Caenorhabditis elegans: one gene and its partners. The protein of the gene in region 2 purifies or fractionates together with the protein of the main gene of each other region. This does not show direct contact. Each region holds a gene or a part of one and is shown on either strand. Other genes may lie near its edges. The genes, in order: unc-85, pat-10 and R10E4.3.

Region 1 (3,345 bases), on a different chromosome or scaffold from region 2:
GTTTATTAAACAAAAGTTTTTTCAGTCTTCATCTTCACGACGTTACTGATGCTGAACAACAAGCACAACTTCTCGAAGGCCTATTCCGCGAAGCTTTTAAATACAACGAATCCGACATAGGTTCTTCTACACGCCGATTATTCTCTGTTATACTTCCCCCCGTGTCTTTCATTGATTCCCACTCGTCCCATTGGAGGATTATCTAACTTTTCAGGTCACCCGTAGCTACCGTAATCCTCGCCCGTTTCAGAGCCGGCTGTCAAACAAACATTGCACTTTCTACCGGAATTCCGAGAATTTGAAAAGCTAATGGATCAATTCTTCAATGTGGTCATTCGTCAGACACCAGAATACAAAAGCAAGTTGTTCGCTTTTTTCGCCAATCGGCGATGAACCGGACGAGAAAATGGATAGGATGTAGTAAAAATCGAGGAAAATCAAAAGTAGAACTCGCTAGACATTTTTAAAAATTCCAGTTATTTTCTTTTTAAATCAATTTCTTTACTGAAACGGTGTGATCTCTACAAATCAAGCTGACGTTCAAACTGTCATATCAATTTGCCTGTTTATTTTACTCCGGTGTATTATATATATAGTACAATCACAATAAACCAGTTTTATATAATTCAGTTGTTTGTTTTAAGAAAAACATTGAATGAATGACACTGTACAGTTTTATTCGGAAAACATTCAAAGTGAAAATTCTTGAAAAGAAAAAAAATGAAAGAACGAATTATGTGAATTTTTGACAGTCACTGAAAATCGGGTGGGAATAAAAATAAGTTCAAAATATATAAATTAACTGGAAGTGAAATCACTGGACCATTTCGTTGTTTGTCTTGTCTGAGAGTGGCTCCGCCATCGATTCCGGAACTTTCGTGTCAGTGTTGATCTGAACGCCAGGCTCGTCATCTATAATTACAGGGTGAGAAGCACACATCACGAAACAAGAAGGGGTTAGAGAAACCAAGTAACACTTACCAGCCATATCAACATCCTCATTTGCTCCATCGTCCTCCATTTTCTCATCTGCGCCTTTCTGTTCGGCCCCGTCAAGTGCATTGGCCAATCGTTCATTGAAGCTCTCGTTCAAATCCACTTCTTCAGCGTTGGCCTCCATCTCGTCATCATCCTGAATAAAATTATTTAATTTTTGAATAAGTAAAATTCATTTTCTCACCTCTTCCTCCTCATCGTCATCTTCCTGGCCATCATCATTCAGAGGCATGAGGTCATCTTCCGCGAATACTCTGTTAGCCTCATCCTCGACAGGCTCTGCGACCGGATCCTCATCAGTCCAGCGAATCGGGAATGTGGTGATGCGAAGATCTTCAGTTTCGACTTTGCGGGAAAGCTTTTCGATGAGTGGCTGCGATGGGGGATTCTCTTTGAGCTCTTCCTCGGTGTACTCATTTGCCACGAACCATCCCATATTGATAAACTCCTGATCGTTGTACTTGCAGCGCAGGAGAAGTACGCTGACACCGACGATATCATCGACTGGGATCTTCGAGATATCCGGATGATCCGCGTCGAACACAAACTTGTGGCGTCCTTCTGGAATTGGACCAACGAGCGCTGAATCGAGAACTTGGTCAAAGTCTCGGGATGTTCCGGATCCGACGTAGACCAATTCCCATTCGAGATCTGAAAATTATCATTATTATCGATGAGTTTATATTTTCCTCTTTCTTACCATGCGGCAAGTGCTCAAAAACTTCAAATGTGATCTCCAACTTGAATTTGTCGACAAACATCGCAGGATTGTCGAGAATTTGTACTTGAACAATGTTGACACGGGAAGCCATCTGAAAGAAAAATATAATTAATTATTTAGGAGCCCACTTTTTCAAAATAAAAGACAATTCACAACAGTATTGGCATGAAACAAAATAAAACTGAAAAAAAAATCATTTTTAACAAAAAGTGTATCAATTTTAGGTAAATGAAATTGCAAAAATGAATCCGCAAATGATGAGAAAAAATGAGAAATCAAAAATTCCCGCAATTATGTAAGTTAAAATGGTGGCGATTGGCGCGTACCGGTGGAGCGCGCTTGCATTTTGTTCTCTGCGTTTCGAGGGGGTACGTTTTCGTAAGGGGATTTTTTCGTAAGGAACGCTTTCAGTAGGGCAATGTGCGGCGCGCCTTTTCGCAAGCCCGCCACACAGTCCTTCGCAATGCGCCGCACGGCTTTTTGCAATGCGCCGCACGCTTCTTCGTATTTATTTATTTATTTTTCCAACAGGAAATTTCGAACGGAATTCAATTAAAAACGGATTTTTAATGGAAATTAATTAGTTTTATTCGAGCTAAATACGGATATTTTCAGAATTTTCGATGACAAAAACGGGTTTCAATCGATTTCGAATCGATTGCGAAGGACTGTGCGGCGGGCTTGCGAAAAGGCGCGCCGCACATTGCCCTACTGAAAGCGTTCCTTACGAAAAAATCCCCTTACGAAAACGTACCCCCTCTGCGTTTCTCTTTCTGCGCGTACCCTCGTGAATGTTTCACGGTGGGCCTGAAATGCAAAAATTATTCGGAATTGCCTCAAAATTTAGTAAAATCCGTACATTTAGTCTCGAAGACATTTTCTAATGCAGCGGAGTGTCCTGTCTTGAAAGTTATGGAAAAATGTAATTTCCAGATTTTAACAGCTTTTTTAATAACGTTTACGCGTTTGTAGATGAAATTCACCAAGTTTCATAATTATGTAGTCATTTTTTCATACGAAGAAAGCGAATCTCAAATCACTTGAAACTAGATGGAATGAATGAAATTGTACACGGAAACGTTGAAGTTGAGTAGAGCCGAGTTAATCTTTTTTTTTTCGCTATTCTTCTCTCGACTAATCGGAACCTGAGCAATTAACAAGAACATTAAAACCGTGATGCTTTTTATTTACAGAAAAAGATAGTACATTCGTACTTTTCGAACAAATAATACCGCAAAAATAATATCCGTATATGAATAATCGTGGAATAAAAATAATACTTGCTTTTAAGAAAATCGAGATACCATATACAATGAAGAGGTTAAACTATGCATGGCGAGTAATAATAATAAGCTAAAACGATTAAACTGGTCTCATTGGGGTTCTCATAGTGGAATTTTCCATTGTATTTCCAAGTCCCATCGGTTTCGGAGAGCTCAGTGGACATGCTTCTTTGAAATTGGCTCCTGGACGAATTACGATCTCTCCGTATGGCTCTGATTGATCAACACTTATTGCTTGAGACTTGGCCAGGGTAAGCAACGAATAAAATTGCTCTGCAGCTTGCTTGCGATTCTTGGCAGTTGCTGTGACAGATGAGAAGTCCGCTTGTCCCGAAGTCTCAATAT
Region 2 (3,582 bases):
AAAAGATAAAGCCTATGTTACACTAAGTTTATATAGAAAAGAGTTGAGCACAGATAGAGAAAAAGAGAGGGATTTGTTGAATTTAGATTTGGAACAATTGAAATAGTGAAAAACTGTTTTGCAAGTTCACAAGTATCCTGAAATTCATTCGTAGAAAATCTACATAGAGAATTGTCACTTTACTTTTGCAAATTTACAAAAACTGTCCTGTTGCGCTAAAACGGTAAAAACTGTAATGCCGCAGAGTAGAGGTCTCATTTGCAGTGATTTAATACATTTTCCATTTTTCATAATTTTCATTCTATTTAGAGACACTTCACTTTCAAACAACAAGGTTGCAACGGTGAATCTCTATATTTATAGAGATTTGTCATTCCATTCCCCGTAGATGGACTTTTCCCGTTTTTTTAGGTCAAGAGAAAACGGAGCACTATACTGCGGATTTGATGTTGTGTTAAAGGATTTGAGAAGTCTAGTTCTTCTGATTATTTCCTGATTTTGGCCGTTTCAAATTGGTCACACTCTTCCAATAAGCCTGTGGATGTACAAAGACTTTTATTCATTTTTATTCATTCAAAAGAATGACAAGAAAATTAATAAAAAGTGAAATGAATTTAACATTTCAAGAAAAAGGAAATTATGAAAAGTTGGTGACTGGTCCCCACAGTTGAAGATTGTAGATCAGCGCTGAAAAATAAAAAGTTAGTTTTTGAATAAAATCAAAAAAAGCTCGAACACTTACATTTTAAAGGAATTAGAAAATTTAATCAGACTCTCCAGCCATCAACTCCCAGAACTCCTCGAACTCAATCTTTCCGGAACCGTCCTCGTCAATCTCGTCGACAGCCTCCTCGAGTTGTTGATCGGTGAGGTCATCGGCGATTTCTTTGAGAAGAGCCTTCAGAGTTGGTCGAGAAATATATCCGTTACCCTGAAAAATTAATAATTAAAGAATAAAAAGCAAAATCTAAAAGTACAAACCTCCTTGTCGAAAAGACGGAAAGCTTCACGAAGTTCTTTCTCCAATGTTTCCTTGTCGACAGTGTTTGCAACGGTGTACACGAGAGCGCAGAACTCGTCAAACTCGAGCTTTCCGGAACCGTCAGCGTCGAACTTGCGGATCAGTTTACGAAGGGTCTAAAAGAATGAAGTTAGATGCCACATAGATTTAGAAAAATCAAAATCATCAATTCTATAACTAAATTTCATAACATATAGTTATATCTTACTTTAGTCGACATAATAAATGCTTTTGTTCAGATGGAATATCAAAATTAATTATTTCACAAACATTAGTAACATGTTTTAGTGGCGAAAATTAATTGAATTCAGTTGAGAAACAAGCCGCAGAAGATAGGTCGGATAAAAACAAAATTTTAGGCAAGAGTAACCCATTTATATTTTCGGTTATCTTACTCAGTTGGCCTACCTAATCATTACCGTGAAACCTAAATTTAAAAGAGTTGAAAACTTCCTAATTTGAATTATCACTCTTCTGAAGATCCCCTAACTCTACATAAACCAAAAGTTCCAAAATGATTTACCTTCTCATCGAAATCCTGTTCCATTCCATGCATGATTTGACCGATCTGAGTGGCCATGATGTATCCTTGCTTTCCTCTGTCGAAGGCATCGAAGAACTTTTGGTATTCTAGAAAGTTTTAATGATGATTTTTCAATCATAAATATAAAATATCTTACCCTCAATTTGGGATCCGTCGATTTCAGCAAGAATCTCTTCGATATCCTCAGCCTATAAAAGTATAAACATATAAAAATTCAAAAAGAAATTTATTGAAGACATGAGAAAGCGGGACTCACCATGTTGTCGGAGTTTGTTGTGCTCTGGATAAGCTTCGTCGGGCAGAAGCAACGGCGGGAGCGAGTAGGCGGAGGAACCCGAGGGCGGGCTTTTCTTTCTCACAACGGCATCATCGTCTCCTCCACAAAACACATTCTTGGTGTTACACTGGGTGACAGATGCTCCTGATCAACGGGCATGAGAGATCATAGAGGGCGAAGAGACGCAGAATGATATCTGTGTGGAAGTTGACGATGATTTTTGCGAAACACAGGATTCGAGAGACAAGGCTCTCCGAGAAGGAAGGGGAAACGGGAGGAGAGTACGAAGAAAGATTGGGGGGACAGGCAACCAAGGATCAATAAAAGTCCAGGAAATAGAAAAAAAATAATATAATTGGAGTAGAATTAAGTACAGAAATGGAGTTGACAGGCAATATATGTAATTGAACTTTCCCAGAATACTTGGATTCTTAGCTGTACATGGTGACCAGAACATCTAGCCTTTTTGGGCTTCAGAACACAACAACGTTTTTTTTTCAGTTTTTTTAAATGTGCACTGAGTATGTATATCTTTACAGTTTTATATCAAACGTTTAATTTGAATACTATTTTATAATTCTCAAGTTTCTCCAGTAACTTTTTATCGCGTGACACACCATTTTGAATTTAAACTTTATGTTTTTCCAATTCAGTTTAGTCGAGGGGGAGGAGGTAGATTTCTAATCATTCTTATTTATCATTTGACACTAAATTTCCGGATTTCAAAAGGAAACCATAATCGTGAGTTTGGAGCTAACAAGTAACTTCGGAAAACGTTATTTCTTTTGAAGAAGAATGTCGAAGAAAAAAGTGCAGAATACGAACAAAAAGATGAAAGAATGTTGGCTGACACCGATCCCACAGAATGTGGAAACTGTAAATATGACAGTTTCATTCAAGATTGATGAAAAAGATGTCGGAAAGCCTGCGAATGAAGTTATTAGAATTAATGAGAATTCGATGGTTTCTTTCCTATCAACAAACTCGTTTTACAATGGATTGATATTGAGTAAGTTTCCAACGGCCGGATAACCCGAAACTATTTTGAAGCGGGCCAACTTCATAACAGAATCTTGCAACTTCTTACAAACCATTATTTACTTTAGTTTTCTAACAAATTTCTGCAGCTTTTCAGATGACTCTTGCAATTTCTTTTGGCAAACTTTATGAAACATTTCGCTTAGAACTGCTCCGGTTTTTGCAACTTTGTAACATCTCTTGGCAATTGTTTATAAATGTTTGTTTCAAGTTGCAAGAGTTTGCTATGAAGTTGTGATGTTTTGCCGAACAAATGTATATTTATCCCCGATAAAATAATAGGCAAAAATTGGTTTGACTGGTACAAGGGTTTCAAAACTCTTCTGTCCACAATTATACATTTTGAGCCAGGAAAAGTCAATTTTCCTCGGAAGACTCCCTAGTTTCTTTTCCACTTTACACTTTTCCAATTAATGTATTAAACCAGTTTAAAAAACTAGATTAAAAATACTTTTCTTTCAGGCGACAAAATAGTCAAGGTGAACGGTGCCAGTGGAAATATATCCAAGTATCAGACAGAGCTCATGAAAGGTGAAACATGTAGTGTTGAGGTTACAAGACGGAAAAATATTATCCCAGCGACCAGAGAACGGTTGAAGAAATCGGGATGTGTTTTGAGACGGGACAATACGTGCTTTGTTATTGAAGTTGAAAAGGTATAATTGAAGAAAAATCGACATGATTATCTTATTCGAAAATATA
Region 3 (3,757 bases), on a different chromosome or scaffold from region 2:
ATCTGCTGCTAAAGAACGTGATATTGCAGGAGTCCCAAAAACAGCCACAACTGATTCAGATGGTGTGATGACAATGTTCGATACGGATGGTTTCTTGACTATCGAGTTCCTCAAGAAATTCGTCACATATGCTCGTTTGAACTGTGGACCACGTCTTACTCCGCAAGCTTCTGAGAAGCTCGTTAATCACTACGTTAAGATGAGAAATCCAGTTGTCAATGCTGATGCTTTTAGTAAGTTTAAAATATCATTTTGTAATGAAAACCCATAAATTTTCAGAATCAGGAAAGAAGGCTCATAATTCGGCAATTCCGATTACCGTTCGTCAACTCGAAGCCATTGTTCGTATTGCTGAAAGTATTGCAAAGATGGAGCTTCAGCAGTTTGCCACTGACAAGCACGTCGAGGAAGCGCTCCGTCTGTTCCGTGTTTCAACAATTGAAGCGGCGGCAACTGGAAATTTGGCAGGAGTCGAAGGATTTACTTCAACAGCTGATCAAGAAGCATTGAATCGTATCGAAGTGCAAATGAAGAAGAGATTCGCAATCGGTACACACGTTTCTGAGCATTTGATTGTTCAAGACTTTGTTGCTCGTCAACATTATAGAGAGTCTCTTGTCAAGAAGGTTATCGATAATTTGGTCCGTCGTGGAGACTTGCAACAAAAGATGCAACGCAAGATGCTCTACCGTGTTCGATAAATTCTCAAAATTTTGTCTTTTTTATCTGGATCTCTTTCTCATACTCAATTCTTAACATATTTTCTCATTCAATTTGATTTTAAACTGTTCTAAATTATTAAATGAACGTTTGCTTTTTCGAAGACCTTGAAAAATAATCAAATTCTAGTTTATGATCGTGTCAAGAAAACACATCAGAAGATTTTCACCGCTCGTTTGCTAAATGATGGCATGCCTGCTTAAAGGAATATTTTTCCAAAGTTCTTCTTGAATAATTTGATTTTTGGCAAATGCCCCAACAATGGTGAACTTACTCAAGAAAATTTACTGATTCACCAAATAAACAAACAAAAATCACTTTAAGCCGAGTGTGAGGTTGGTAGCAGTAACTGAAAATTGTGGAAACCTAACCTAAAGGTAGTCTTCGACATAAGTTTCATTTGGAAGTCCGGGATTAGGTTGAAATACTTCCCTTGTAGCTAAGTACGGTATTATTGCAGGAGTACTGTAGGATTTGCGTAGTTTCGGAAAATTTGAATTTGAAAAAATGTTGCTATTATTAGGTTAGGGTTGGTGGTACTGTAGGGTTACTGTAGTTTGGGAAATTTAAATTTTTAGCATTTAACATGGGCCGAGAGTTGAGATAATGGCGAGGGTTTTGTGGGATTGCCTGGGTAGTTTGGGATGCATTTTAGCTTTTGAAGCGGATTTGAATATTTGGTTAAGATTTTGTGAAGACATTGTCGAACGAATACAATTACAAACGACACTTTTTCATATTCAGGTTGAAATGGAAATTCATAAATATTTATAGCTAAATGTTTAAAAAATAGATAAAAATTATATTTTTTCAAAATAAGAAAAGGACACGTTTTTTTTCTAAAATGTCCAATTTCAAAAAAAACCAAAAATTGATTTATTTTCTATCAAAAATGACATCGGCGTCGTCGCAAGAGGAGGACGGAAGCGAAGAAGATGAACATTTTAAGTCGATATTATTAATAATCATGTTTGGCGCACAATTTGTTTGCTTCTTAATCGCATGGTTTTGGTTTTACCCGAGAGACGAACCACCAAACAATCAAATAATGCATAAGTTGGAAAAGGTATTCGAAGATTTTCTTTCAGGCTCGTAAAATTTAATGTGTTGTGTCTGTATACTACACAGAAATGAAAAAGTGTGCAACCACCGTTCGAATATAATTTTTAATTTCAGGACACTGCAAAATCTCGAATAGCTGGAGGCACAGTTCGTCCGATCAGCCGTCTCACTTCCCGAGAAATCCGCTTTTTAGCTCATCATGACACGTGTCATGAACGTGGCTTTGAGCTGACAGAAGACGATAAAAAGTTGTTGAAACTGGCAAAAGAAGGGGAAATCAATCATTTGAAGCATGTATCCAAGTTATTCGATGATCTGACAATGAATTGTGGCAGTATAATTGTTAAGCGAGGCGCTTCGATAGAAACTAATTTTAATAATGAGACTATGGAACAGGTATTCATGAATTTTCTGATTGTTTTGGGCAATTAAATTATTTTCAGTTCGACAATGATGAAACTGCTGGAATTGAATATTTGGTACCGTTGAAACGATCGAAGGAAGAAAAGGAAAAGAAAAAGAAGAGGAAGACGAAAGAAAGAATGGATGGTAAGTTACCATATATTTTAATTTGCGCGTGAAATTATGTGCATTGAGTGTTTGCACACAATTCATGTGCAGACACACCATATTTCAAGAGCAAGTTCAAAACACATATAATTGAAATATGGAGCATGTTTCGATGCACAATATTACGGGAACAAACAATATCTCGGAGCGAAAACTACAGTAATTCTATAAATGACTACTGTAGCGCTGTCGATTTACGGGCTCATTTTCGATGATTTATGATTTAATTCATTTTGAAATTCGAGCCACGAGAGTAAATCGACACAATAGCTACAGTAGTCATTTATAGAATTACTGTAGTATTCGCTCCGAGATATTTCGCGCGTCAAAAATGTTGCGCAGTACGCATTCTCAGAGTTTTGTGTTTCCGTAATACGCGAGTGTGCGATTTACGCGGAAATTTGGTTTAATTGAGGTTTGATTAAGAAATTTGAAATTCGAATTCCAGCCCTGGACGAACTGACACGTGTCACTTCAAACGATCGAATTCCTCTGTTGTCTCGAATAGTTCACCACAACCAACCATCACGAAAAACACTGAAGCCAGCCACATCAACAATCCGTGAACGAACACTTGAAACTCAGTCAACGATGGAAGATGATAAAACACAATTAAAAGTGATCAGAAAACCATCGTCTAGACCACACAAGAAGCCATCCACAATGGAGAGTGCTGTGAAAAAGAAGAAATCGGCGGCAACGTTAAGTAAGTTGGGTTGAAATTTGACGGGCTCCTCTTCATTCGTATTCATTTATATGAATAATTTTTTGCAGAAACTGTTCGTAAAACGACACGGGATGAGCTGTCACTTGCAACAACGCTCGAGGAAACAACACGAAGCAAGAAAAATCCGTTGTCAAAGGAACCCTGATTTAATAAAAATTATTTTAAAACATGTTTTACATTTGGGCCTGTTTAATACCTTGTAGCGTGACAAGCCTGTAAAATATGGCCGTACCGATAAATTGGCAATTAGTCTTTCCCGTCTCTATTAGTATCGAACTTTTTCTTTTAGATGCTCCGCACTATTATTAACTCCAAAATACTTCAAATTTCTTTGATTCTGCGAAATTTTCTAATTTTATTATTTATTAAGAAACCATGAGTTCTTGAGAATGTCTACTTTCTGGCGCAAAAATGGCGGCAGCAGAGAGAACATGCAGCGACGAGAGATTTAGGAGCCTTCGCTACGAGATATTCCCGCGCCAAAACGGTAGGCATTCTCATGATCTCACGGTTTCTTAATAACTGTGTTCCCATTGTTTGTATTCTAAAGTTCTTGGAGTTCAAAAACCTGCAGAAATACTCAAACTTTTGAAAAACGTTGATTGAAAATTTTGAAATAAAATATGGAGAAATAAAATAGAAATTTTAAAAAAACCAACAATTTTTACAGTGTTCAAT

What was found.
Region 1: the proteins of pat-10 (region 2) and unc-85 fractionate together in Caenorhabditis elegans (co-fractionation; one large-scale study listed by BioGRID). This does not show direct contact.
Region 3: the proteins of pat-10 (region 2) and R10E4.3 fractionate together in Caenorhabditis elegans (co-fractionation; one large-scale study listed by BioGRID). This does not show direct contact.

Annotation. Positions count from the first base shown.
Region 1 is NC_003280.10:4,700,532-4,703,876, reverse strand, and holds unc-85 (putative histone chaperone asf-1), read right to left. Parts: upstream 1,809-3,345; coding exon 1,697-1,808; intron 1,648-1,696; coding exon 1,181-1,647; intron 1,133-1,180; coding exon 982-1,132; intron 913-981; coding exon 815-912; 3' UTR 658-814; downstream 1-657. Other genes in the region: F10G7.9 (C3H1-type domain-containing protein), read left to right, coding at 26-120, 251-393; scc-1 (Sister chromatid cohesion protein 1), read right to left, coding at 3,080-3,345. UniProt on the Caenorhabditis elegans protein: Histone chaperone that facilitates histone deposition and histone exchange and removal during nucleosome assembly and disassembly.
Region 2 is NC_003279.8:5,018,240-5,021,821, forward strand, and holds pat-10 (EF-hand domain-containing protein), read right to left. Parts: upstream 1,848-3,582; 5' UTR 1,825-1,847; coding exon 1,822-1,824; intron 1,754-1,821; coding exon 1,702-1,753; intron 1,652-1,701; coding exon 1,545-1,651; intron 1,138-1,544; coding exon 982-1,137; intron 932-981; coding exon 764-931; 3' UTR 743-763; intron 688-742; 3' UTR 544-687; downstream 1-543. Other genes in the region: C46H11.6 (PDZ domain-containing protein), read left to right, coding at 2,638-2,851, 3,343-3,536.
Region 3 is NC_003281.10:4,285,328-4,289,084, reverse strand, and holds R10E4.3 (uncharacterized protein), read left to right. Parts: upstream 1-1,605; 5' UTR 1,606-1,612; coding exon 1,613-1,786; intron 1,787-1,896; coding exon 1,897-2,178; intron 2,179-2,225; coding exon 2,226-2,331; intron 2,332-2,800; coding exon 2,801-3,058; intron 3,059-3,126; coding exon 3,127-3,224; 3' UTR 3,225-3,244; downstream 3,245-3,757. Other genes in the region: DNA replication licensing factor mcm-5, read left to right, coding at 1-233, 280-701.